4 linked regions of the Tamandua tetradactyla genome follow. The protein of the gene in region 2 interacts with the protein of the main gene of each other region in a pairwise test. Links are inferred from orthologs where the notes say so. Each region holds a gene or a part of one and is shown on either strand. Other genes may lie near its edges. The genes, in order: RAP2A, RUNDC3A, CCNL2 and RAP2B.

Region 1 (7,109 bases), on a different chromosome or scaffold from region 2:
GCCAATGTCAAGAACTGAGTCATGTGCCTCCTTCTGAACTAAGCATGGGCAGAGGGGAGAGTACTGGTATTGAAGACCAATCCCAACTCATTTCTGGGTCTTTTGGCAAGATGAAAAGGAAACAGCAGGATATGCAAGCAACATTGCAGCCACACTTCTGCCACATTAAATGCTCCACATTAAATCTCTTGTTTTCTCAGAACCCTCAAGTTCTTAAGAAGTCTGTCTTTTCCCTATGTTTTAATCATCTATCCTTCTCTCTCGGAAATTTTTTCTTCTTAAAATTATTCTTTTAAAACATTTAAGTGGTTTCTTTCACTGACTGGCTTGTATGCTCAATTTGTGTTGTAATTATTTTTGTCTTCAAAATCACTGAAACTTACCACATTTTCAAAAGCGGAACAAGTTTACCCTGCTCCTTTCTTTCCACTGTTATATTTCTCAACAGTATTAAGAAAATATCTTCTGCTCTCTTTACAATTTCCAGCAGCATTTCACAGGCGTTAAATGTACTTGACTTGTCCTTCCCCTTTATGGATAGTCAGAGACATGCACACTTCAATAAAAGTGATAGGAATCAAGGTTTTATTAGCCAGGAAGTAATGGTCACATTACACACATACTGTACAACTTGTTTATACTAAATTATTTCCATATTTGCTCCTTGCCAGCATCAGGAAGTCCCAGAACACAGTGTATTTCCCACATAATTCCACCTTTTCTAACATATTTCACAGAAGGAAAGAAAGGAGCTGGGTTTCCATGGTAACACAAATGTGACAATTGCTGGTATTTGGGCAGAGGTGAGTGCTCTTTCACACTCAGTGGGAGAGGAGAAATGAAGTTGTTTTTTTGTTTGTTTGTTTTTGTTTTGCCCCTTGGCAATTCACTTCAGAAACTGAAGAGACCCTGCAGTATCAGTGTACAGTGTTAAGTTTTCACTATTACATAGATTTACAACTCTTAGGGAAATTTCAATTTTGTCTTCTCTCAATTATATGCTATCTTTCTCACAAACAATGAATGAAAATGTTTTTATTTCTAAAATCACCCTCAGAATAGATTATATTGGCATAACAATGAACATAATTAAGAGAACAGGAGATAGACACTCATCTCCCACCCATATCAGCAAAATTCTCTAAACACCCTTTCAGCAGCTAACCCTTCAACCAACATTGCACATACAGTCACAAATCAGTATCATTATCCACAGCAGAACAGGTGAGAAAATATGCTGAAAATATATCTGTCATTTTCTTTCATCTCTCAGTGGTTAAAAATCTACCTCCATGACACTGAGAGTGAAATTGAGGTTAGTCTATTTGAGAAACAAATAAACTGTGACTATCCAAAAACCACAACCGTTACACATCTCCTTTTCAAGAAAATCAGCACTGATGAATGATCAGGAGAAATAACCAGGGAAATGCCAAAAAAAAAAAAAAAAAAAAAAGCTCTCCTACTCTCTGTTGTGCGAAGTGGAAAAATAGGGAACCTAGTCACTAACTTTTGTGACAACTTCTATCTGATGAGCTCCAATCCAGAAATATCCAACTCTCTGGAAACCTAGGAGTAATGAATATGTTTGTTTGCTGTGGTTACATTCTGAACCCACAATCCCAATGCAAATTTCTCAAGCCACCGAACCTCTTTTTCTTGCACAGTGAATGGATTTTCGGTTCCACCGTAATACAAAGTTTTACATGGGTTGTAATTATCTATACAAAGAAACTTCGATGCTTTTTGACCCTATTTTTGCTGATTGTGATGGCTCAGATATAAACTCATATCTTGATGCCATGTAATCAAGAAATAATGACTGAGTTACGCTTTATTGTACATTACTTATTCGAAAGCACACCTGCCCTTAATTGTTTTAAACAAAAACTTGGTGTGTGATTCTATAGCAAGATAATGCAAAAATACAAATTATCCATTCCAAACAATAGAGTAGTAGGGCAGTAGGAGGCTGCGAAATCAAGATACATCTTTCTGGTAGTTTATTAATTGACAAAATGTGGTAAGAGAACGTCTGATTTTTAGAGACGCTCGGACCAAAATATTTATATGATGACCTTGTAGGGGAGAGAAATCGGTGGAGAGATCTGCCAGATCAAACATTAGAATTATAGAATTCATTATTCTCAAGAGATGTGAGAGACAGTAATGCGTAAGTGTAGATTAGTTCGAGAAAGACATAATTTAAGGAAGGGAAACCCAATAGCAAGTTATACAAAAATAATCCAAGAATGTTTGGGGATTTAACTCCTTCTAAATTTGAAGTCATGGCTAGGGCAGGGAGTGTAAATAAGCTTTAATGCTAGAGACAGGAAGTATTACACAGATGTTCTAAAAGGTACGTATAGAGCACCAATGTAACTGCTTCGTTATGCCTTCTTAATAACCCGAAAATTTCTCACCCTAAAGACAAAAGTCTGTTTTCCCGACCCATCCCACATCCCTGAGAACCATTTCCATGCCCAGCATTTAAGCAGACTGCCACCGAGGCTATGTTAAAAGCGGAATTCACCCCTCTCGCCTGCAACAAACCTCATTCCTTTGCCAGAATGAGGCACGGCGCCCAGCCCCTGGATCTTTGACCACTCCCAAACCACACCAGCCCCAAGCCTTGTCTCCATACTACCGGCCCTCGGTGGTTAATGTGTCGCTTGTTCTGGTTGGCGCAATCCAAGCCCAGGTCACTCAGCAGTTCACTACTATTGGTTGGCAGACAGTGCGCAGGAGCAAACGCCCAGCCCGGCGAGACTTCGAGGGGTGGGTTGGCTGACGCCGAGACGAATGTTTTTCCCCCATTGGCTGAAGAAGGTCCATCACATGGTATCAGGCAGCTCTCTATTGGCTGTGAGCGGTACCATGGGTCCTAGAGACGTGGTCTGGTTGGCTGGAATGAATCCAGCCTCCTAGATGTTCCAGCTGGCTGTTGCTAAGACGTATCCCTGGTCCTCCTGGCTATTGCACGGGGTTCCGCTCTCCAGGTTTTTCAGACGCCGGTAGCTGACAGGGCGTGGGAAGAGCTCGACTTCAGTCCCGCACCATGAAAGGGCGGGACTAGAGGGAAGGTGGGTGGAGCACGCGACGACGTCACCGGGCGTGGACCCGGCTTCGGTGGTGCCTAGCGGCGGCTGATTAGCCCATCGGGGAGTGGATTGAAGATACTTGTCACCTATACCTCAGTGTACTTACGCTTAAAACAAGGCTTCTATTCGTTATGTTTATACAACCTCAGGCAGAAGGCTGGAGGTTCCTGTCACGTAAAACAAAGCGCCATCTCGTTATGCTTATACAATATAAAGTCAAAGACAGTGACAGAGTGATGTCAGGCAAAGCCCCTCAACCAAAGGGCTCCTCAGACTCTTGCCCATCTCGTCCTGTCACTTTCCTGCCTCAAGGTAAAGCCTCGAAGATGGTATGGCTCTTCCAATATCTTGTCTCCCCAGTAATTTGAGAGTGGGATTCTCTGGTTGACGCTTTTTCTGTCTCAGGCAGACGGACTGGGCATGCTCAGTACACAGGCCTTGGTGTTCGATGGGGTGCCGTGGTAGGGTGTTGCTGAGTGGCCTGGGTGGTGGTTTGCTTAGCCGCGGGCAGAAGCTTCCACGCAGCCCAGAGCCTCCCCGGAGGCGCGAGGCTGGTCGCCTAGACGACTGAGGGGAGGAGGCGGGGATTTGCGGCCCGGCCCCGCCCCGCCCTGGACTGCCGGGCCCCGCCCCCGGTAGGCGCTGCGGCTGGGGCTCGGGCGCGCGCTCTAGCGCCTGGGGAGGCGGCGGCGGCGGCGGCGGGCGGGGAGCTGGGCGTGGAGGCGCGAGGGGCGGGGCGGGCGGCACTGCGGGCCCGCGGTTCGGCAGCTCCCGTGGCTCCTGCTCTCAGCTCGCCCTCTGTTCCTCCCGGCGCCCGCGGGGTCGCGTTGCCGTCCGGCTTGGCCCATGCCCAGGGCCGCCGCTCCCTCAGCTGCCGCCGCCGCCGCCGCCGCCGCCGCCGCCGCCCGGGGAACCGCCGCGGCCGTGAGGTGGGGGCGGCCGTGGGAGGCGGCGGGGCCAGCCGCCGGGGCAGGGTCCGGGGGTGCAGCGCGGCGGGCGTAGGTCTATGTCGCGGGCGGCGGCGGCGGTGGCAGCAATAGCAGCGGCAGCAGAGAGACGATGCGCGAGTACAAAGTGGTGGTGCTGGGCTCGGGCGGGGTAGGCAAATCCGCCCTGACCGTGCAGTTCGTGACCGGCACCTTCATCGAGAAATACGACCCCACCATCGAGGACTTCTACCGCAAGGAGATCGAGGTGGACTCGTCGCCGTCGGTGCTGGAGATCCTGGACACGGCGGGCACCGAGCAGTTCGCGTCCATGCGGGACCTGTACATCAAGAACGGCCAGGGCTTCATCCTCGTCTACAGCCTCGTCAACCAGCAGAGCTTCCAGGACATCAAGCCCATGCGGGACCAGATCATCCGAGTGAAGCGGTGAGTGAGCCGGGCGGGCGCGGCCGCGGGAGCCCCTTCTGAGCCGAGCTGGGGTCCCGCCCGGGCGGCCCCCAAAGGGTCACGGGAGGCTTCGCAGCTGGACTCGCGAGTCATTGTCCCACGGTCAGAAATCCCCCGCGTGTGTCCATGTGTAGGGGGAGCTGTCTAGGGAGATGGCTCTGAGGTTTTATGCGTTATTGTCATCATTATTATTTTGCATCTCAAATTTTAGCGCTTTGTTTCAGAACTTAAAATTGGCCATCCGGTTAACCCAAGGCACAGCTCTTTGTCTCTTGAATAAGGTTAGTAGCGCTCGTACAGAACATCAAGGGAAACAAAGTTTAAAACTTGCAGGGGGAAAAGAGGTGGGTAGGTTTGTGCTGGAAAGAGGGAAGCTGTACAGGATAGGCGAGACATTTTCAAACTGAACCACAAGAAGTCTACTTTTGCAATATTTGACAGCAGGAATTGCACATACATATCTGTAAAAATGTCAAGTGAAGAGCAAAGAGACCTTTCTCATCTCATAATAGGTGTAATGGTGCAAAAGCCTTTTAGAGAATGAACTCTAATTTAGTGGCAAACTTTAAAGACAGATTTACGTATTATTTGAAGACATAACGATTCAGTGGAATTGGAAGAGTTCTAGCATACAGCTGCACAAGTATGCTATTTACTAGTTAAAAGGAATGCAGTTTAACTGTTTAGGGAAATGGTTTTTTATTCCTTTTTTTTTTTTTTTAATCTAGCTGACTTCCCCCCTCAAAAAAAAAAAAGTCTTGCCTGGAAATGAAATACAAGCTGCTTCTTCACATGTGTGACCCAAGTATTAGCTAATTTAAAAGTTAAGGCAAATAAGGCCTTTCTTAATAAAAACACTTTTCTGAAGTATGCATTTTGGAAATATGGCTATTAGCTTAAATGGTTGAAACTGCTGGGTTTCTCTAAAGTTGATTGAATACTTTTTTTTCCCTATAATTTTAAGCCTTTGAAATGTAATATCTTCAGAGTTTTAGCAGTTTTTTTCTAGTTTCTATTTAATTCACATTACTGCTTTCTCTGGTTGTTATTACTTCTTCTTTGCTGGTAATTTTGCAGATTTAGTGTCACTTTTTTTCCCTACCTCATCTACTGTAGCCATAAATTTGAAGAGGTACAGTGAAAAGACAGCTTTAAGTTTACCATAAACACAATCTTATTATAAACCTATTTGAATCTACTAATTTTTAAAAAGTAATGACCGAGTCATGTGTACTCAGGGGATGCTCAAAAATACTTTCCTGATGGCGGTTTTTTAATGCAACATATGAGGTCCAAGGAGAGGCCCTCTCCCCCTGGCTCCCTTAACTGATTGGGTATATACTTTAATAGCTAAACTAAAATTTTGTATGTTATTTCTTGAGTTAAATTTACAGCAAGAATAAAGTAAATATTTTCACGCCCTCTTGCTCTTTTAAGATCTATTAATTTGATTAGCTTTTTACTTCAACAGTCTTACTTACTTTTTATTTCTACAGTCTTATTTACTTAAATTGTTTGTTGATGGTTAACAGATGGCAATTTTGGTATTAAACTGAGTATGTATATGACATTTAAGGGTCTGCATTCAAGAGACTCAAATGCTAAATTTCTCTCTACCCCCAACATCACTGAATTAAAAAAAAAATCTACAGAACATGGTAGTCTAATACATTGCCACATGACAGTCTTTAGCCAAATACATACATCAAATAATAATATAAATAAATGCCCCAACTGCCCCATCCTTCACATTTAAATATAAACATAAGGATGCGTACATACATTCAAAAAGTCACATACTCAGGGTAAACTTCGTGACACAAGCCTAGGGGAGAGAATATGGTATGCAAGATATCATTGGATAGTATAGTTCACAAAATTTTGTAGTTTATTATCTTTAGTACAAATTACTTTTCTCTGTATATAATAAATGTTAGTTTAAAACTGGTGTTCTAGAACATTTTCTTGCTTTGTGGCCCAGGGAAAACAAAATTAGAGTAAAATCCTACTTATCTGGATGTTGTTTTACCCATTCGTTTCAGTTTGTAACTTAAAAAGACAATGACCAGCCAAAATAGTGTTCGTAAACTCTTTTCACTGGAATTCAACTATTTTATCCCCAATACTTGGACCCTTACATCTATGACCTGTTATTTTATCCTACCCTAACCTCATCATCTGGCTTCCCAACCTATATAGCATATTATAAATAAATTAAAATTGAAAGGGAGATAGGATCTATGTTTATTATATGCAATTTAATATACATGTATAATGCATATATTATGTTAAAGCAGGGACTCAATGTACTTGTTCTCTGATTCTTCCTACCACTTTAAGTGAATAAAACATGGTTTTCAAGTAAATGCATTTTCAGCTGCTTTGGGGACCAATTTATAAATTAACCAGATATTGTTGGAGTTATCCAATAATTATTCTCTCCCCTCTGCCTCTTGTGTGTCTGGTAGCTGCTTTAAATATAATATACACATGTAAAGTTGTTTTGTGAAATTTGGTATGTCCATAATGCAGGATTAACTGAAGTGCAGAGAGATTTGGTATCTTAGTCAAGACCATTCAGTGGTAGAGAAGAGGTTTAAATCTGTGTGGAACA
Region 2 (6,964 bases):
GTGACCATGTTTTAAAACTTCAACTTCTGTGTGAGACCAAAGGGAGAGATGTTTATTTGGTGCAAAATTTATATTTTCTGTAGCACACTATCTAATTTAACTTGTACGGTCAGTTTATTTGAACGCCATAATTACATGGAACTTTGAATAAGGAATGTGATCTTGTTGGTTTGTACAGGTTAGTGTTATGTCCCGACACATCCCAGAGTAATCTGGGCAGAGAATAAAGAAGTAGTTGCAAAGCCCCCTTGAGGGACAGGAAAAATGTGGAAATATTTAACTTCCCCACTTGGGAGTTCCTGATGTTCTCACAAGCATGGGGGACTACCAATTTAATAGGCCGAGCCCTCAATCTTGGGGTTTGCCCTTATGAAACTTATTCCTGCAAAGGAGAAGATAAGCCTACTCATAATTAAGTAGAGAACCTTTCTTGTTGTTCAGATGTGGCCTCTCTCTTGAAGTCAATTTGGCAGGTAAATTTGCTGCCCTCCCCTCTACATGGGACATGACTCCCAGGGGTGTAAATCTCCCTGGCAGCATGGGACATGACTCCCAGGATGAGTCTGAACTCAGCAATGTGGGATTGAGAACGCTTTCTTGGCCAAAAGGGAAAAGAGAAATGAAACAAAATAAAGTTTCAGTGGTTGAAAGGTTTCAAATAGAGTCAAGAGGTCATCCTGGAGGTTATTCTTAAGTATTACACAGATATCCCTTTTTAGTTTTTAGTGGATTATTATAGCTAGAAGGAAATATCTGAAACTGTTGACCGTGTTGCAGCAGCCCTGATGCGTGAAGATGTTTGTATATATCTATATAGCTTTTACAATGTGACTGTGTGATTGTGAAAACCTTGTGGCTGACACTCCCTTTATCCAGTGTACGGACAGATAAGAAAAAAAATAAGTATAATAAATAAATAATAGGGGGGGATAAGGGGCATAGGATGTTTTGGGGGGCTCTTTTATTTTTATTTTGGGGGAGTAATGAAAATGTTGAAAAATTGTGGGGATGAATGCACAACTATATGATGATGCTGTGAACCACTGATTGTGTACTTTGGATGATTACATGGTATGTGAATATATCTCAATGAAACTGCATTAAAAATAAGATGTTTTCTGGGGTACACATGCTTCAAACCATAACACCCTCAGATCAGTAAACTCTCCCTAATCCAGCCTTCTATCCCACCCCCTGATCCCAGTCCAACACCCTCAAGATCCACCCCCAAGTATAATAATTCCTTTCCCCCCATAGCTGGGGTGATTCTTTTCCACTGGGTCCCTGATGAGACTTGACCCTTGTCATTGAGAGGAGTCAGGGTCAGCATCAACGTGTGAGCCATTTGCCTCAGATGAGGATATTATTGTCACCCAGAGATGGATACCGTTACTATTGGGACTTTGCATCTCTTTTTTTAAAGAAGGGGGAAGAGCATCTTCGTTTGAGTGAAGGACACGCTACATTGTTAGGCAGGGTCACGAAGTTGCTATTGTCCAAATACGGGTAGAAAGGTGGGTATGGGTGCTGAGTAGACAGGGGGTGGACTGTGCCGGTTACTTACTTATTACCATTCAGCTCCAACTTCATTCTTCTTTTCTCTGCTTTCTGATGCGGGGTGGAACATCAGATGCTTCAAACTGGTTTCCCAGATGCCACGGCTAGCTGGCCTTCTAGTTGGTTCTGCTAACAGGAGGCACGAGGGAGTGACTGGAAGGCAGGAGGAAGGGGGAAGGGACTTCCCATTTTTTCTTGCTCATATTCCTGTCATTCGCTCATCGGAAGTCGCCTCCAGTCTTCAGCTTCTTCTACATTCCGAGAACCAGCCCTGTAGCTGCTCCTCAAAGGAATGAGCCGCAGCAGGGTGGCCTGGCCCAGAGTCTGAGCGCCAACTCAACAGCATCCCTCCACCAAGCTCCGAGATTGCTGTGACCTCATCTCTTCCCTTTTGTTCCCTCAGCCCTCGCTGCTCCCTTCAATTACTAGTTTGGGATGTCTCTGTGTTCTCTCTCTCTTTTTTGCTCTTTTCGTCCTCCAACTCCTTTCCCCATACTTTATCCTGTCTATTTGAAATTTCTTTCTTTTTTTTTTTTTGCACGGGCAGGCACCGGGAATCGAACCTGGGTCTCCAGCATGGCAAGTGAGAACTCTGCCACTGAGCCACCATGGCCCTCTATTTGAAATTTTTAATGTGGTTTCTATTTTTGTAACTAGACTCTATTTGATATGCAAAATTACAAAATTCATACAATATGGCTCTATTACTATAAAATTGTAAAGCTGGCCACATTAACCTACATAGATAAGAAAACTATAAAGAAAAGCAATGAAATAAATGATTATCACAATTGTCAGCATAGCATTTGCCTCTTGAGGGAACAGATGAAGATGAGATATGAAAGAGGCACAAGGGAGCTCCCAGGGCAGATAGTGTTCATTTTCCTGACCTGAGAGGGGGTTACACAGATGTTTGTTTTGTAAATATTCTTTAAACTGTTCATACTTTATTTGCTTTTATGCATATGATATATTTTGCAATTTAATAAAACAAAAGAACATCAATGCTGCCGCTAGCTATGGGCTGGAGGCTGGATGATTAGAAGGGCTTCTAGAGAGAGGTGAGGCAAGAGGAGGAACTAAAAAGACCAAGTCTTAGGTCCAAGAACTCAAGAATTCTGACTCCCTTGCTAGGAGTCAGAACCCTCTCCCTAGCTCTCAGGGAGCCAAACAAGGGTTGGGAGCTTCTAAGTCCTTCATTTCCTTCTCCTCCTTTGTTGGTGGTAACAGAATTGCTGTCTGCTGGGTGAGCATCTAAATCAACGCAGAGACTCTGGCTATAGATTAGCAGAATAGAAGCAGGAATGTGAATTAGGTGGGTGGCAAGAGCTGGTTAATGAGCTGAGCCCTGGGATGGAAGTCCCAGAGGTTGGATGGAGAGAAGGGGTGCAGCCCCTCCGATCAGCCTAGAAAGGCTTTGTTTGGTAGCTGCCCATTCCAGTGCCCGAAAGAGGAACCGGCTGCCTTACCTTAGGCAGATTGAATAGAGAAATAGAGAAATGGAGCAGCTGGAAGCAGGATGTGGGAGACTAATAGAGAGGCAAAGGGTAGCAGGGAAGCAAGACTATGCTCCATTTCCCCACCTACTTGGAAAAGCTGCAACCAGCTTTGCAGGGCCCTGGTGGCCTTGCACCGGGATCAGTGACTCCATTTAGAGTGGGTTGACAGCATCCTGCAACAATGTTGGCAGTCAAAGGGTTAACCCTTAGCGCTGCTGACTCGGGTTGTGTGAGGGGGTAGGTCTGAGGGAAAGCCGTGCCTTAACTGCCACTCCCTCCAGCTGCTGTGGCCCCACAGTGCTGGGAACATCCCCAGAGCCTCGGGACAGTCCTGAGCGGTTCTGGATTCCCATCCCCCACCATTGGAGTAGTTGGCTCCACAAGGCAGACCGACAAATCAAGCACGAGTAGAGGGACAAAACGACACGCAGTCCCTCTGATCGTTCCCTAGCCTCCAGGGTCAGCCACCTGAACTCTCGGATGCAGCCAGTGCCCTGGTCTCAGAAGGCCGATGCTGAAAGGGGCGATGGGGTGGGGGCGGCGCTAGAGTGGGGTTACCGGAGGTGAGGACCTCCATTCCCCAGACAGCAGGGGGAGAAATCAGGGACAGACACTAACAATTTCTGGTCAGAAGCTTAGAGTAGAGGTGTCGGAGCTCACAGACGCGGGACGAGGAGTCCCGGGCTCTGAATGTGGGGGCGGGGGACAGCCAGTGGTCCCCCCTTCCTCTCTCCAATCCCTGCCTCTCCAGGGGACCCCCTCCGACATCCCTGGGGCCTCGGCCCTTCCCCTTTCACCACCAAACCCTGCGTCCTCGGCGGATTGGTCCCCTGCTTGCCGCGGGGCGGGGCCCGGGGGTCCTGACGTCACCAGCGGGGGGGCCGGGCGGCTGGGGGAGGGGGTGACAGGCCCCGGCTCAGCACCTCGGAGAGCTCCCTCCCCGGCCTTGTTTTGCTCTGGTGTCACCGCCGGGGGAGGGAACGAAGGGGCCGGGCGCCGGGCGCTGAGGCTGGGAGATGACCGTCGAGGGGTCGAGGGGCCCCGGCGGGCAGAGGCCCCAGCCGTGAGCCGGCGGGGGAGCCGGGGCACCGGGCGGGGTGGGGGGCAGCGGGTGGCGGCAGCAGTAGCCGCACATCTGGATGGAAGCGAGCTTTGTCCAGACCACCATGGCTCTAGGGTTGTCCTCCAAGAAAGCGTCCTCCCGCAACGTGGCCGTGGAGCGTAGGAACCTGATCACCGTGTGCAGGTGGGCGCCGTTGGCGGGCGGGGGGTGGGGCGCTCCGGGAGCTGGCTTGGGGCGGGCTGCGGAAACCCGGACTGAGCGTGCCCGCGGGAGCAGGCACCGCAGCCGAGTGGAAAGGAAGGGGATCAAAGGGTTAAAAAGATTGCCACAGCCCCTCGCAGGTCCAGAATGGGGAGGGGGTTTGGAAGTCTGCTACCTACCCTTCTTGGCCAAGGGCCTGAGGGGGAGGGGGTGTTTTATTGGCATTGCAGCTTCCTGCGAGAACCAGGAAGTGACATTGTGTGTGAGGGGGAGGGGGGCCTGGCTGGCTCCGTTGCTGGGGTCGGGTCGGGGTGGGGGGTTTGTGAGGTGGGCAGAGGAGAACTGAAGGGGCATAAATGCCCAGAGCCTGGTCTCCCTGCGGTGGAGCATTGTCTTGGGACTTTGCTATCCACAAATCCTGGAGCAGGGACTCTGTGCCCTCCTCTATCTCTGGGCAGCTGCAGCCTGTAGCAGAGTCGCTTGGAAATGTGGGCAAAGCCCCCAAATCCATCCAGTGAAGGGTTAGAGCTGCTGTCCCTACCAAGGGAAGGACCAAGGGCCCAGCTACAGAAGCCTGTGTCCCCTGGGCTCGAGGGAAGGAGAAAGGGGACAGGGCCATCGGTCTCTAGATGGCCCTGAGGGTGGGGCTGTCGCAGTGTTAGGGAGATTTGCCTGCCTTCTTGGGGCCCAGGAAGTGGTCTTTCCCACTTCAATCCTGCAGTGACTCACCCTCCCCATCTTTCCCTGGAGGCAGGACGTGCCCAGCCACCCAGACAAACTCCCTGCATCCCCCACCAATACTTGCCTCTCCCTCGAGGGTCCCCATGCCAGCTGCCTTCTCCACCTGCAACCTCTCCTGCCGTCCTGCTCCCAGGCATTGGGGAGTAGGCCCTCTCAGGGCAGATGGTCCCACATGCAGGGCTCAGCTGCCAGCCCTAGCCGCCTGCACACTGGTGCCCTGGCCCCTGGCCCCTACAGCTCCCTCAAGGTTTCTGAGCACACACTCAACCATTCTGCATCTATCTCACACCATCACATCCTTAGTGCCCAGCACAGTGCTGGGCAAATCAGACCATCCATAAAAACACCTTGAATGTTATGGAGGGAGGGAGTGCAGCTATGGCCTGGCCCAAAGTTCAGGCCACTGCCTCTACCCTCACACACCACCACCTCCAACCCTGCCAATGTGCTCTAAAATGAAGACTCCTGCCCTTGGGGCCAATGGTCCTCGGTTCACGCCCTTATATCATCATGTATTAGCTGTGCAGCCTTGGTGAACTATCCTAACCACTCTGGGCCTTGAGTGCCTTATCCCCATGCCTGGTACACGGGTGGGTATAACAGCCACCCCAGAGAATGACTGTGACAGAATGCAGCCCTGATCTGATGACAGCCCTCTCAACTTTCTCCTCACTCTGTACTCCCAGGTCCTTCTTCTTTCTCTTGCCTGTCAAGATAGCTGTAGCTCTCGAGTGCGTATGGGAACAGGGAAACTCCCCCTAGCCTGGGCTGGAGACGCAGAGGTTCTGGTGGTCTGGAGGTGGTCTTAGAGCACAGGAGTAAGCTGTACGGTTTGGGCGGAACAGGCTTGATAAAGACTCAGAAACCCCTCAGGCTCCTGCTGCCTCACTGCCATCACACGGTCGCCTCCGGCTCCCAGAACATGTAACAGGCCATGCATTCCCCTGGGCCCAGGCCTTCCCATCACCATGGTAACCCTCAGCAGGCACCGCATCTCCTAACCCAGAGCACACCACGGGGCTCCCAGGGGCAAGAAACACTCTGCAGCACCCCTACGGGCAGATGGCAGATGGCTGCCACACTGAACCCAGCCCCTGGCCTCCACCGAGGCTTGACCCAGATGACCAGAAGAAACTGGAGGAGGCGGGTTGGATAATGAAGTCCAGCTAATGCCTTAAACGCAGGCTCCTGCTCAACAGGGACAGCCTCCCCACTAATGGTCCAGCTCCTCTTGGCCTGCACACATTTACCTTCTCCCAGTCCTGTCGGGGATGCAAACCAATATTTAATGAAGCAGGCGCTATTATTCCTGTTTACAATGGGAAAATTGGCTTCAGAGAGATTAAGTGGCTTGTCCAAGGTCACATAGTATTACAAAAAAAGCAGTATTTGAATCCACCAGGCCTTCTCTAGTGCAGCTCCACCCTTACCTGGCTCTGATCTCAGGCCAGACCAACTCTCAGCCCAAAAGGAAAGGGAAGGTTCTGTGGGTTCAGCTGGACCATTGGCCTGAGGGCTTCAGAAGCCAATACTCGAGGGCTAGAGCCTTGCAGCATGAGGGCCACAGAGGCTGTGGCTGCACAGGGCCTTGGTGATCATGACAGTCCCCAGCAGGCTCCAGGAGGGAGCAAAAAGAGCAAGGGCTTTGGAATCAGCCACACCTGCTTGACCCCTCCCCAGGCTAGATGCATGACCCCGAACAGATCAACCTTTTGGAGTCTCAGTTTCCTCATCTATAAAGTTGAGATGATGATGATGATGATAAGAGACTCTACTTCCCAGGGCTGCTGTAAGCATTGGATGAGATAATACATGTAAATATAATGCTTGCCACACTGTAAGGGCTTATATACCTTGGGGGGGGGGTGACAGTTCTAAGCAGCCTGCATAACCCTGACACCCC
Region 3 (7,430 bases), on a different chromosome or scaffold from region 2:
AGAGGCCACCAGGTGGGATGGTACCCCCTCTCTTGGAATCCTAGATGCTCTTCTGTGAATTGGGGGCTTATGCCTCTCAACTCTGATCCTGGCTCCCCTCAAGGCTGCCTGGACAGCCCATTCAGTACCTGCTTCCCCATTCCATGCGCGCCCCTGCCTCGTGGCGGGTCTTGGCCCTCTTGTCCCCCAGATGACTCCACTCTGACGTGCGGCCTCACCGTAAACCTATCCAGGTTTCTCACCGCGGACTTCCCTCCTCCCCGTGCCCCAAGTTCGTTCTTTCCCTCTGTAGTCCCCTTGCCTTGACCTCTCTCTCCAGCAGAAACCCTGGGACCCAGCTCCCTAGCTGTACGCCAGCCTCAGTTCTCTGCAGCCTCCAACTGGTCCCTAGCCCAGCCCTCCCCACAGCAGGCAAGCTGGCCCTCTTGGTCCTGGCTTTACCCCAGCCGCACATCGCCAGGCAGGGGCTTCTCAGTGACTGACCCTTGGCCCATCTGATGAGGCCATTTAGCATGCAGCATCCTGTTCCATGCCCCAGGGACTCAGATTCATTAAGTCCAGAGTCAGGCCGGAATCTGTTCTCAAGCCCACGGGGCTGATGGGGACAGCCATGTGCCTTCCTCCTGCCTTGCCGCCTGCCCACCGTGCCCACCTCTGATCAGCACGTGCACCTCAGGAGGGGTCCACACCTCTCTCCCCTGGCCAAGATGGAAGCTGGGTCCTTGCTCACCTTCAGGGCCAGGTGCTCCCTCGGGGCCCAAAGCTGGACTCGGTCCTCATGGGGCTCTGGTTCCACCCATCGCCTGTCTTCTCTGGACTTTGAGACCCTCCTGCCCCACTCCGCTCCTGAGTCTGCTTTCCTTTCTTCCGTAGGCCGGCTGCTCAGTTCCACTCTGCCCCTGTGATCACTGGGTCCACTGATCTGCTACGCCTCTGGTGGCGCTCACCACCACCAACAGCCACTTTTTCAACTTTTCTCACTTCTGAGCATCTGTGGGCCCAGAACCTACGCCCTCTGTGGGACTCTGGCTCTCCCTGCAGGCTGGCGTGCAACATGCTTAGGGTTCCTTCTTGCTGCGCCTGCTCAGTCTCCATGTCGTGTTTCTGTTTTCTGGGCTCAATCCTCCACCTGCTTCAGGAAAGCTCTCCATGCTTGTTCTAGTTTGCTAGCTGCTGGAATGCAACACACCAGAGATGGATTAGCTTTTAATAAAAGGGGATGTATTTTGTTAGTTCTTCAGAGGAAAGGCAACTAACTTTCATCTGAGGTTCTTTCTTGGGTGGGAAGGCTCAGGGTGATCTCTGCTGGCCTTTTCTCCAGGCCTCTGGGTTCCAACAACTTTCCCCAGGGTGATTTCTTTTTGCATCTCAAAGGCCTGGGCTGAGTGCTGAGATGAGGTATGCCGAGCTGCTTGGGCTGTGCTACGTTGAGCTTGCTCATTTAAGTACCAGCCAATTAAGTCAAACAGTCATGAGGTTCACGTACCATTGGTTCATGTCCACAGCAACAGAACTAGGTGCCTTCACCTGGCCAAGTTGACAACCAAATCTAACTGCCACAAGGCTCATGGCATTAGCCACTCTCTGCCTGCTGGTGGCTCCCACATCCTTCCCAATGCAGCCCTCCCCTGAGCTCGAGACATGCTTGTCCCACTGCGTCCTGGATACTTGCCCACGGCTCCAGAGGTTCCTAAGCCGAGCGCCCATCTCCCCCCACCCCACATGCTCCACTTGCCTCTTTGCCAGCAGACACCTAGAGTCAGTGTGGGCTTCCCCCTCAGGCTCAATGCCCCCCTCCAACCCACAGGTCCCGAGCAAGTCCTGTCTCTTGATTGCCCACTTTCCTTCATTCCCACTCAAAATCGTCGTCCTTTTCTCCAGCATCACCTCTGGCTTCAACAACTGCGCCGGCCTCCTTAGCACCCTCTGGTCTTTGTCCTGTTTAACAATGGCCTTTGGACCATGAGCACTTGGGGGCCAGGGGCTGCGGCCCCTCCACTGTTGTCCTGCTGCACTGAACAGCAGGGCCATGCTGTGCACACAGGTCACAGTACTCCTCAGTCATCAGCAGATGGCTACTGAACAGGCAACGGGAGCATCAGAGCTCGTTGTGTGGGGTCCAATGATGCGCGCACTGCATGGTAGTGAAGGGGCTGCCTTTTGCTCTGTATCTCGCCTCAATGAAAGGGGGTGTCATAGACCACTACAGGCTGCTCCCAGCACCCACCCCAACCCCTTCCTCCAGCCACAGGGCCCAGCTCTCCCTTTGGTGCAGTTCCGGGGACTGTGGCCCTGTCCCTAGCTCTAGGGCCTGGCCCTGATTAGCTAAGGCCATTAACTCTTCCCACTTTTCTGGCCAATCACTGCCCAGGGGATGGGCAAGCAACTAGGCAAGGATAATCAGAAACATGTTTGCTGGGATTTCCAGAGAACAGGAACTTTTCCTAGAGGGTGCTGCTGTAGCCAGTTTGCCTGCACACAGGAGGATCCTGGTGCTGCCCACCTAGGGAGAGGAGATGTTGGGGCTACGAAAGACGAGGAGAACTGGCTTCTTAGGTAGCAGCATTGGGAGTTGCTGGATCGAGTCTCTCCAGAAGTCAGGGCCCCATCTGGACACTTCAGAGGAGGGAAGCAATGGAGGCCTCTGGGTTTGGGCCGGTTTGAATTGAGGGCAATATCTAAGGCAAGTTTAAGTGCGACAGTCTACCTTCCCCCCAGGCTTCTCAGCCCACCCCCTACCCAGTTCCAACCACCCCACCCCAGGTTGCCCCCCCTCTCAGGCTCCCCACCCCCACCCCCAGGCCAGGGCTCACAACATTACTGGTGAATGTTTAACCGCAACGTGTGCAGTCACGGTTGATGACGACAGCATTTATTCCTCCTGTACAATGAGACCAACAGCCCTGATGCTGAGTGCCTTAAAAACTGCAAAGGAGGCTGGCAGTACTGAACCCAAGGGTGAGAACTAGGCGGGGCCTTCTAGGCACAAGTCTCTCTTTTCAGGAGTAAATGGGAGGTCTGTAAGGTCAAGAGGGGTTCAAAGGCATAAAGCCCCATCAGTGGTCCCCCACTGTTTTGTTTTTGGGTTTTTATTTTTTAACATTTTTTTACTGTGTAGTATAACATACACAAGCAAAAAAAACAAAGCAATAGTTTTCAAAGCACTCTTCAAAAAGTAGTTACAGGACAGATCCCAGCGTTTATCATGGGCTACCATACGAATCTCTCATATTTTTCCTTCTAGCTGCTCCAAAATATAGGAGTCTAGAAGGCTCAAATATTTTTCTATCATCACAATCGACCTTTTTTCTTTTTTTTGTGAAAAATAACATTAAAAAGCTATAAATTTCAAATCACAGCACCACAATTAGTTATAGAACGTATTTCAGAGTTTGACATGGGTTACAATTCCACAATTTTAGGTTTTATTATTATTTTTTTCAATCACATAGTCGCATTGCAAAAGCTGTATCATCATACAATCATCTTCAAGAAACATGGCTACTGGAACACAGCTCTACATTTTCAGGCAGTTCCCTCCAGCCTCTCCATTGCATCTTGAATAACAAGGTGATATCACTTAATGCTTAAGAATAACCTCCAGGATAACCTCTCGGCTCTGTTTGGAATCTCTCAGCCATTGACACTTAGTCTTATTTCTCTCTTCCCCCTTTCCGTGGAGAAGGCCCCCACTGTTATTCAAGTTCAAACTCTCCACGGGGTGCCCGGGGCCCACGAAGTCAGTCATGCTGACCGCTTCAGCCCCTGGCCTTGCTGCCCCGCGCCGGAACCGTCTGATGCCTGCCTTCTCCCGTGGCCAGGGGCTCGGCAGAGGCGCGGGACGCAGTGCTCCCCCTTACCGAGCTCCTCGTCTCGGGCCTGCGGACTGAACTCCGAAGGCCAAGGGCTTGTGGGCTGCAGACGCTGCGCAACTCCTGCGGCCTGAACCTCGGGGTCCGGAAGGGCTGAAACGTGAGCCCACCGCGGCTGCCACGTGCACGGCACGTACCCCTTAAACCACGACCCCTCAGCCTCCTCCGCCGCAGGCAGCCCGCGCCCCGGGACCGGAGCTACGCGCTTCGGGGGCTCCGTGGGATCGCGCGCCGCAGCCGGGAAGGCTCGGCCACGCGGAGAGACGCGCGGCTTCCGGGTCGGCGACGCAGCATTCGCGGCCGCGCCCCGGCGCCGCGCAGCACCTTGGGTAACCAGCCACCCCCGCGCGCGCCGATTCCGGCGCCGGCGTCCGGCGCGGCGCTGACGGGCAGGCCATGCGGCCAATCAGCGGGAGGCGCGACAGGACCTCCGCCGGCCCAGCCAATGGCGCGCGGGAGGCGGGATGGCCGCCGTCGTAGAGCGTCGCGAGGAGCGGCCCTGCCGGGAAGGAGCCGAGGAGAAGTCGGCGGCACAAAATGGCGGCGGCCGCGGCCGGGGTTCCGGGGCCCGCGGCTCCCGCGGCAGCGGCCGGCGCCCCAGGCACGGGAGGCGCAGCCCCCGGGGCGCAGGGGGTGCTGATCGGGGACAGGCTGTACTCCGGGGTGCTCATTACCCTGGAGAACTGCCTCCTGCCTGACGACAAGCTTCGCTTCACGCCGTCCATGTCGAGCGGCCTCGACACCGACACGGAGACCGACCTCCGCGTGGTGGGCTGCGAGCTCATCCAGGCGGCCGGGATCCTGCTCCGCCTGCCGCAGGTGAGTGCGCGGCCGCGGGCGGAGGTAACCGCCCCGCCGGCCCGGCCTTTTGTTGGCGGCCGCGCGGGCTTCGCGCCGGCCCATCCCGCCGGCCTCTTCCCCGGCCCCGGGCCCACCTCCGCCGGCGTCCCGCCCGGGCCCCGCGCCCACTCACGCCGCGCCTCGGGCCTGCCTGCGGAGGGTGGGGGCCGCCAGCCTTCGTGGGTATCAGAGGCTTTGGGTTAATTCCTGGATCCAGAGCCACGCGAAAGCTGGCGATTTCCTTTATGTTGCGAAGCTCCTGAACGTGCGGCTAGAAGTGGTAGAAACCCCTTTTCACTTCTCCAGGTGGCCATGGCTACCGGGCAGGTGCTGTTCCAGCGGTTCTTCTACACCAAGTCCTTCGTGAAGCATTCCATGGAGGTGAGGGCCTGCGCCCGCCGGGGCCCCTTCCCCAGGGGTGCGGAGGCGGAAGCAGGCCTGCGGTGTGTTCCAGGTGTGGGGAGCCTGTTGTGCTCAGAGCCCCGCTCTCCCGGGCAGCCTTTTCCTCTGTGCGGCTCCCCTTTGCTCTTTTTATCTCTTTAAACCTTTATTCTGGCTCTGTGGCTCAATGTAAAATTTTCCATTTTTGTAGCTTTGAAGTACACAGTTGAGTGGTATTAATTACGTTCACGATGGTGGGCTCCCAGCACTGCTTTCGTCGCGCTTCCCAAGTCTTTGGAAGCCATCAGGGTGGGAACAGTCATCCGGATGTTGCAGTGTGTACATTTATTTCAGCATGTGTCAATGGCCTGTGTTCACCTGGCCTCCAAAATAGAAGAGGCCCCAAGACGGATAAGGGATGTCATCAACGTGTTTCATCGGCTCCGGCATCTGAGAGAGAAGAAGTGAGTGTTTTTGTTACAGCTGTGGTGAATGTCTCCTTATATTTGTGGTTTTTGAAGTGCCTTAGGGCTTCTGTAACAAAACTCCTGGTGTGAGGTTTTAAACTTGTGGGTCATTCGTTAATGTATTCCCAAGCACCAGGACAGGGGGTTATGCCCAGGGCTTCTCAACAGGGATTGCTCAATGAACGAAGGGGCTGCTGTGGGCAAGGACAGAGGCCTGTGGCTGTGGTTTTCCTGGTACTGGTGTTTGGGTTGCCCATATCAGTTCATCACCCTCTCGTCTCTGGTCTCCTACATATCTCTGCTCTGGAGCCTCTATACTATGACGTTTTGGACCAAGTTATTCCACTGCAGGGCTGCCCTTTGGATTTTAGGATGTTTAGCAGCATCTCTAGCTGCTGCCCGCTCCAGTGCAGTTGGACTTTGCTGTGCCCTAGAGCGCCATTTATCTATAAGGGAAAGGGGAGGACCATAGCTCAGTGTAGGGGTCTAGGAAGGCTTTGTGATGCTGTCCCTGAAGGTAGTAAAGTCGGCCTCCTCGTGATGTCTGTGTCGTAGCGTTTCTGTCCTCAGTTCTCAGCCTTTGGAGGTAATCATGGGATTTGAAAGACTTCATTTTATTTGACCCTTATGCAGGTCATGTGCTTTGTTTGTCTTTCTAGGAAACCTGTGCCTCTTCTATTGGATCAAGATTATGTTAATTTAAAAAACCAAATCATAAAAGCAGAAAGACGTGTTCTGAAGGAGCTTGGCTTCTGCGTCCACGTGAAGCATCCTCACAAGGTCAGTATAGGCACAGGCCTGGCCACTGGCTGCTGCTGCTCATTTTATTTTCACTGCTAAGCAAGCCTTTAAAGAGAATTGAAATGCATCCTGGACTTGGTTCTCCAGTTTGTGTCTATAATTTCGCAGTAATCTTTTTGTAAATATTACTTCTTAATTTTAAATATTTTTTAAGGGTACTGGAATTGGCTTCTTTTAGTTTTGAGTTGACAGAGACATAGTGGTAAATTTATAAAACATTTTCTTTTTCCACAGTTTGTCTTCTGAAGTTCCATTAGTAATAATCTTTCATTGTCTTATAGAGGAAATGGAAGAATTCTAAGCCTTTTTATTTTGAAATGAACTAAGCCAGTTTTGCAGCAAGTATTAATTAAGGAGCACGACTACTATACTTTTAGTATATTTCAGTTTATTTACAGTGCCACGAATATCTGCTGTGTCATACTTTTTAAAAAATTGCTTTTAAAAAAGATTGCTGTTTGCATCTTTGATTTCATTCCCTTCTCATTGATGGGTGTCCTCATATCTTCTCTTTTACTTGTTTGATTTTTTGTCATTTCAAATTCTTGGTAAACTCTCCAATTTAAGCAGCTTTAAGCGCTTTCTTCACTTTCTGGAGGACTTTCACATGTGTTTTATGTAAGTTGGTGATTGGGATACAGAGATGTTAGGCAGGCAAATCTCACTGGTGGAAAAGGTGTCGAAGACAAGACTGAGAATCTGCTAGATGCTGGCCATGAAACGAGGCCTTCCCTGCCGGGGTGCAGCTCTGTTCTCGTGTGCATGCTTGCTGCCCAGCTGCCAAAGCAGGTAGCAGGTGCGTCAGCAAAAGCTCACTCTCCAGCCGAGCTCCATCCACTGGGCGTGTGACTGGGAAGCCACTCCTGGAATCTAGCTTGAGGCTCTCGTTTGCTGCATGGATGCCCAGAAAGCTGAATTCTTGGCTCTCCAGATTCTTGGTAATAACTGCCTGACCCATATCTTCCAGATAATCGTTATGTACCTTCAGGTGTTAGAGTGTGAGCGTAACCAACACCTGGTCCAGACGTCATGGTGAGTTGATTTTCTTTTGTTTTATGAGACCAGCAAG
Region 4 (6,687 bases), on a different chromosome or scaffold from region 2:
TCTAAAGATGTTTTTCAAATCAAAACCTCAAAAAAGTTGGACACCGTCTACAATCCATATGACAAAAGCACTGCAGAAGACACTACCAAATGAGACTTCAAAAATGAAAACCATCTGCCCCCCAAAGACGCTTTTGACTTGATGGGACATAACTTAAACAACAAGAAAAACAAGACAAGAATAATAAATTAATGAGGATCACCCAGCCATGCCAGATGAAGGATTACTTTCCCAAATCTAAGGCATTTTCAGCAATTAGCTTTTCCCCTTCCCTGCTTCCATGTCAGCATAACAGATTCAGTATATGGGCCCATCCTGTACTCTGATGATACAGCATACCCCACAGCTTTTGATTCTCTTGTATTTTAGGAATTTGGGGCAGTCACTCAACCCATAAGTGAGATGCTTGTCTTCAAAATTTGATAAATATCTCAAGGCATCATGCACCTGGCCCAATCCACCTCACCCATGATAACTGTATTAACTCACTGAATATGAAACACAGAAACACAAATAGTTTTGAGTTTTTCTTTAAAAATGACATTTGTATTAAAAGTCTTAAAATGAAGAGACAATGATTAAACGCATGTCTGGAATTAAAAATTACAGTTAGAATTCTCTTGATACAGCACAACAGTACAATTTTGCTCTTTGCTTCCGTAGGAACACCTTATAACAGAAAACCAAAAAAAACAAAAAACAAAAAAAAAATTATAAAACAATATAAAAGGGGAGCTAAATATCTTAAAAATTGAACAAAATGAAGCAAGAAATGACAAAAACAAAAAACCCAAACATTGCAAGACATGGAAATTACATTTGAAAGTCTGGAAATAATGAAGAAATTCACTGAACAGCAGGCCCTATTGTCTTGGCTTGTTCAGGCAGATTACTGAAAGGAAACTGGGAAGGGGTTTGGGGAATATCAAGATTCTAGAATATGGTGGGAAGTTCACAGGTTGGCACCGGCTGGAACAGCTGAGTTTGGAAGGCACTCTGCAGACACAGGGGTGCTGGGGGCCCTGAATCACATTTAGGAAGTCTTTGTACTGTATTTTAAAGAGTTAGTCATCAAAATCTGTTACTGCCAACCAAAAAAAAAAAAAAACTAAACTTAAAAATAAACACACAATATTACACAAAAAAATGTGCAGATCTGTAACATTTTTTTCACAGCTGATTTAAAAAAAAACAAAAAAACAAAACTACCATTCTCCCCCAGACTCCCCTTTAATACAGTAGGTAAACAAAATATAATTTTTTTTTTCCACAAATATCAGCAGACACTTTCTGGCACCCCCACACCGTATTGGCATCAGAGTTAACAGTCCCAGTTCAGATGTGCAATACTTCAGATTGGATACACTGTAACAAGAATCCAACTTTGCATAGACATCCTTAGAATCGCAATCAGTCACGGGATTGCCCTTCCAAGCTGGCAGAAAAGGAACCCCATCTTAATTTCCACCTACTCCTGGAAAACAAGGAAAAAAAAAAAAGCAAAAGTTTCTTCTCTCTTTCTGCTCCTTCACTTGGTTCTCCCGGACTTCCTTCCATGTATTTAAAACTTGGAACTACAAAAACGGTTGTTGCCAAAAAAGAAAAAAAAGAAAGACCTCTCTTTCCTCCATTCGCCCCCTCTTCTTCCCTTCTTTCCCCCCACCCCAACCCCTAATTTTTTTTTTCCAGGCCGAAACTTTTGCTTGCCGGGTGTCAAGCCGCCAATACAGCGCCCTAACGGCTACTTAAACGGGGAAATATGCGTCAATCAAAATCAATGAGAAACGTACATGCTGCAAAGAGCCACATTTCCAACAGGGTTTCGGATGGTCAGGACGGGTCACCCCCGCCACCTCGGGGAGGAGGCAGGGGACGTCGGCAGCGGAGGCCGGTCGGGCTCCCGCGCCATCTCCGCCAATGCAAAGTCGTCTCCAATCTCAAAGCAAGAAGAGAAATCACATTTAAGAGAGTCGGGTGCTTTTGGCTTTTGTGCGCAGAGCGCGGCCGGCGCACAGCGGCCGCCGGCGCCTCAGAGGATCACGCAGGCCGAGCAGCAGCCCTCGTCGCCGTTGGGCTGAGCCGCGTAGTTCATCTGCCGCACGATCTCGGCGAACAGCTCGTCCACCGAGGCTTTGTTTTTGGCCGACGTCTCCATGAAGGGGCAGCTCCACTCCTCGGCCAGGGCCTTGCCCTCCCCGTAAGAGACCTCGCGCTCGCCCTCCAGGTCCACCTTGTTGCCCACCAGGATCATGGGCACGCGCTCGTACCGCTTCACGCGGATGATCTGGTCCCGCATGGGCTTGATGTCCTGGAAGCTCTGCTGGTTGACGAGGCTGTAGACGAGGATGAAGCCCTGGCCGTTCTTGATGTACAGGTCCCGCATGGAGGCGAACTGCTCCGTGCCCGCAGTGTCCAGAATCTCCAGCACCGACGGCGACGAGTCCACCTCAATCTCCTTGCGGTAGAAGTCCTCGATGGTCGGGTCGTACTTCTCGATGAAGGAACCCGTCACGAACTGCACGGTGAGCGCGGACTTGCCCACGCCGCCCGAGCCCAGCACCACCACTTTGTACTCTCTCATGGCTCCGTCAGCGCTCTCGCCGCTCCTGCCGCGGCCCCGTCGGGGCTGCGAGCCTGGGGAAGGTTGGGCTTGGCGGCCGGACTTCTCCCCTTCTTCGGGTCCGCAGGAAAAAACCAGGAGAGAGTGGCCGGGGAGTGCAGGACGCAGTTATCACAAAGCCGGGGCCGGGCGCCCGGCCGACCCGCGGCGGCGGCGGCGACGCGTCCCAGGGGCGCGGGTCCAGGGCCCCGCAGTAACCCGCAGCAGCAGCCCGGCCGGGCGGCGCACCGGGAGGACAATGCCAGCAGCCTGTGCGCGGCGACGGCTGGAGCTCTTCGCCGCTGCAGCCCGGGAGGGCGGGGAGGAGGTGGCGGCGGCGGCGAGCTGCGGAGGCGGCTGCTAATTGAGCGCCGGCCGCGGACGCGCGTGGCATGAGTCCCCGCGGAGCGTGTGCCCACCGCTGCGGCCCATCGCGCTCTCCCTCGCTGCCTCCGCGGGGCGAGGGCTTCCTACTCGCCGCGCGCAGCCCGGCCCTCCCCGCCCGGGCGAGCATGCCCAGTGCGCCACCGCCCGCGCCCATCCGAGTCACAGTTCCGGGTTTTCCGCGAGGCCTGGGAGGGACCGGGCGGAGGGCGGGGCTCGCGATTTAAGTCTAGGAGGAGCGGATTTGGGAGCGGCGCGCGGCTGGTAACTAAACTCGAAATGCGTGCATTTGTGCGTCTGGATCAAGTGGGAGAGGATGAGGTGGGGGTCGGCTCAAACGGGAAAATGGGGCAACTTTTTTGTACCGCTCTGGGGTTTGTGTACAAGAGCGGTGCATCTACAGAAAGCGCGTGGGCCGCCCCGGGGTGGGGTGTCTGGGGTTTTGCAAACTCCGGGGTTTTCAGGGGCCCACGGACTCCACGCCTCAAGCCCCGGCGGATTTGAGTCTCAGGTTCGGAGACCCAAAGGGCGTTTTGGTGCGGTGGAACGCATGGGAGGCGCGCGTAAAAACGCAGCTCCACCTTCTCTAGCTGACCCTTCCCACACTTTATCTCCTGGACAAAGGAAACGGGAAAACTGGGCTGAGAAACTGTTCCGACGAGGAAAGGTTGGGGTGGGGGGGGCGGGAATTGGATAGTACTCTCTGGACCCCTACTCTCTCCCAGCAGGGACTTGACGGGTCCCACCCACCTCCTTCTCGGCTGTGACCAAAACCCGGAAACCCGAAATACATCCCAATCCAGAAGTCGCGGCGATGCTCCCTGCCGCTCTGGGCATGCTCAGTCGGCCGAGCAGATTTTGGGTCCTGAAAGTGGGAAGCTTTTGCATCACACGCCCACACTCCGGCTCAAATTACCTCTTCCAGAATTCGGTACCCATTGGTCCCGGGGCGCAGGTCTCACACCCCCAAATTTTCTCCCATTGGCTGCCGCCAAGATTTTATCAGTTTGGGGTGCTTCATTGGCTAAAAAGTAGCCTCCGCTTGTGATTGGTTATTTATAGAGATTGAGTTGGGAGGCGGAGGCACAGCTGTTCTTTCTCCGCGGCTCCCCCGCCCCCTTCCTCCCACTTCCCCAACCCAGTCGTTTTGAAGCTGAGAGTGAAAAAAAAAATAGAGGAATTTAGGCGGAGAGCTCAGAACTAAATATAGTCCTTTGTTGGTGTTTTCGAGCGAGTCTGGCTTCTCGGTGCCCAGTCACGACTGTCCCTTAGGCGAGTAAGTCAGAAAGGACTGATTATAGTTCTTGGACACCAAGTTTTTTTGCAGGGACGGGACAGGAGCAAGGGTGAAGAAATGGGCCACTTGGAATTAGGTTCGCCTGGAGTGGGTGGGGGGAATGCCCAGGCTTGCTTCTTGAAAAACGTCTTCGCTTTCCAGATGGACAATCGCTAGGCTTGGCTCGGCTCACACTCACGGGAGGTGCGAGGGAGATGCCTCGACTTGATCCGTGTCTCTCTCCTTCCTCCGAGAGGAGAGATGTCGAGACCTGTCTGAAGACATTGAAGGCAGCGTGAGCCCGAGGGTGGAGGGGGTGGGGACGGGACCGAGCAGCGTCAACCCTGACTCGGTGGCTTACCTTTTTAAATCGATGCCACTTCCCACTGGTTTAACCTTCAGCATTGGAGGGATGAACCAGCATAAACTGCAGATGCCAATACTTGGTTTCAGTTCCTAGTCCCGTCGTGACTCACAGCCACTTTTGCGAGTTAACTCAAGACCTCTGGCTGTAACTCCTAACAGGAGTCTGCAAGCTGGTAAAGTGCTTGGGCGCAGGACCAAGTGGGAAGTGGGCAACAGCTTCTGTCTCGGGCCGGCTGGATGGTGTCGACCCCTACGCCTGGCTCCTCTATTTAGTGGAGAGAGGAATTGCACCGTCCCTATTAGAGGGCTTGGATATACTTATTCTTATATAATTCTCCAGAAAAGCCTTTCTGAGACAAATTCGCCTAACACAGCTGTAGAGAACCCAGCAACGTTTCTCCAGCATCTCCACGCACCTACCATCTCATTTTCACTTCATAATAATGATTATTACACCTGTCTTAAAGTTGAGGCAACTGAGACCATGAGATGTTTAGTAACTTACCTGAGATTGCCTAGCTAGGGAGTGGATGAGCTAAGATCCCAGGTGTTTGGCTGCAGCGCCTGGTCTCTAATGTTTGGTTGTACTGCCTTAGCACAAGAAAGTTCCCGGATTTTCTTTTCCGAGGTTGAATTTAACAGGCAGTGCAATCATACCTGTTCGATCCCAAGTAACAGGGACCATCTGGTCAAGGTGATGGTCTACGTGGAGAACGCGCTTCTAAACCATGATCTAGGTAGCTGGATCTCTGGAATCCTCTGCATATGATGACAAACTCACAATCGAGGCTAGCTCAGGCCTCTGTACTCACCTGTGTCCCAGGAATGGCTTTTTGTTGGGGTTTGGACAGTTCTTGGACTGTAGACTGAGGTGTGTAATCCCAGGCCTTTGGGCGCCTCCTTTTGCTGTCAGTTATAAGGGTCAGTTAGGGTCAGCGTTCCCTTCCCTGCCACCTTCCAGCCTGGAGAATTCCTAATTCACACCTGGCCTTCCAGATCCTTGCGAAGAGGTATTTATTTGTCATAGTGGGAGAGGCATTTATTTCTCAAGGTTGGAGAATAGACTATATTTTAACAGTTTGTTAGCTTGATTTATAACTTAAATATTTAGATTCATGCTCTGGGCCTCTGTTTGTACTCTTGCCCACAAATGTTGGGTGTGGTTCTGGGTCTGATAAAGTAGAAAAGCTTTCTCCTTATAGGTCTAGTATCTAATCCGAAGTATTGGATATTAATCATTATCTCTGGGGCCTTAGGCAAGTCCCTTAAACTCTCCTGTGCTTGATTTCCTTATCTATAAAATGGCGATGAAAAGTTGCGCTATCCACCCAGGTAGGTGAGGTTCCTTGAGGAAATCTGTTGACCTTGTCCCGCATTTAGTGGGGAGAACTGAGATCCAGGTAGATAGATGACTTGGGCAAATTAATGGGAGTGTGAGAATTAGAGCCCTGCCATCCTGGCCGCCCTTTCCATGCTGCCAGTGTGTCCTTAGTGATAAAAACTGACAACCAATGAGAGAATAGTTGGGAACGTGCTTTTAAAAGCTGAAGAGCAGGGTGCATGGGTGGTTCAGTGATAGAATGCTCCCCTTTCATGTGGGAGATTGGGCTTCGATTCCCAAACCATGCACTCAAAAAAAAAAAGCTGAAGAGGAAACTATACCCAGAATAACTGGTAACCATGCAGATGGATATTATTGAACCTTGGTGGCCTCACCAAGACATGGAAGAGGCTACAATTTGAATAAACAATATGATCCGTGCCTTAGAATTTCTATTAAGGATTCTTCAATAGCAATTTTTATTACACTCAGATGGTCTCCCACAGAAAATTTTGCACTGGGGCTTTGGGATCCAGAATGAAGCAATAAAAATTGCTTATACACAGATTTTTCTTTGCTGATGCATGGGTTTTTAAGAGGGTCACTTCCTCCTATGAAATCTGTTAGGAGTTTTTGTGTACCCCTCTATGGCATCCTGTAACATAATTATTTACAAGTGTATGTCTTGTCATCCTAAGCACCGTGTGAATTCTTTGAGGGCAGAGTCCATGTCTGGTTGAT

What was found.
Region 1: the proteins of RUNDC3A (region 2) and RAP2A interact in binary tests that used the Homo sapiens proteins (3 or more experiments, as listed by UniProt). The link is inferred for Tamandua tetradactyla from reciprocal best matches to the Homo sapiens genes RUNDC3A and RAP2A.
Region 3: the proteins of RUNDC3A (region 2) and CCNL2 interact in binary tests that used the Homo sapiens proteins (3 or more experiments, as listed by UniProt). The two-hybrid records come from large-scale screens. The link is inferred for Tamandua tetradactyla from reciprocal best matches to the Homo sapiens genes RUNDC3A and CCNL2.
Region 4: the proteins of RUNDC3A (region 2) and RAP2B interact in binary tests that used the Homo sapiens proteins (3 or more experiments, as listed by UniProt). The two-hybrid records come from large-scale screens. The link is inferred for Tamandua tetradactyla from reciprocal best matches to the Homo sapiens genes RUNDC3A and RAP2B.

What each region holds. Positions count from the first base shown.
Region 1 is NC_135330.1:166,207,177-166,214,285, forward strand, and holds the start of RAP2A (ras-related protein Rap-2a), read left to right. Parts: upstream 1-4,100; 5' UTR 4,101-4,160; coding exon 4,161-4,474; intron 4,475-4,706; coding exon of another isoform or gene 4,707-4,902; exon of another isoform or gene 4,903-5,124; intron 5,125-7,109. UniProt on the Homo sapiens protein: Small GTP-binding protein which cycles between a GDP-bound inactive and a GTP-bound active form. In its active form interacts with and regulates several effectors including MAP4K4, MINK1 and TNIK.
Region 2 is NC_135332.1:23,158,520-23,165,483, reverse strand, and holds the start of RUNDC3A (RUN domain-containing protein 3A), read left to right. Parts: upstream 1-3,940; 5' UTR 3,941-4,195; coding exon 4,196-4,302; intron 4,303-6,964. UniProt on the Homo sapiens protein: May act as an effector of RAP2A in neuronal cells.
Region 3 is NC_135328.1:223,487,681-223,495,110, forward strand, and holds the start of CCNL2 (cyclin-L2), read left to right. Parts: upstream 1-4,409; coding exon 4,410-4,691; intron 4,692-5,018; coding exon 5,019-5,093; intron 5,094-5,447; coding exon 5,448-5,557; intron 5,558-6,219; coding exon 6,220-6,340; intron 6,341-7,328; coding exon 7,329-7,393; intron 7,394-7,430. UniProt on the Homo sapiens protein: Involved in pre-mRNA splicing. May induce cell death, possibly by acting on the transcription and RNA processing of apoptosis-related factors.
Region 4 is NC_135331.1:47,937,486-47,944,172, reverse strand, and holds RAP2B (ras-related protein Rap-2b), read right to left. Parts: upstream 2,762-6,687; 5' UTR 2,582-2,761; coding exon 2,030-2,581; 3' UTR 518-2,029; downstream 1-517. UniProt on the Homo sapiens protein: Small GTP-binding protein which cycles between a GDP-bound inactive and a GTP-bound active form. Involved in EGFR and CHRM3 signaling pathways through stimulation of PLCE1.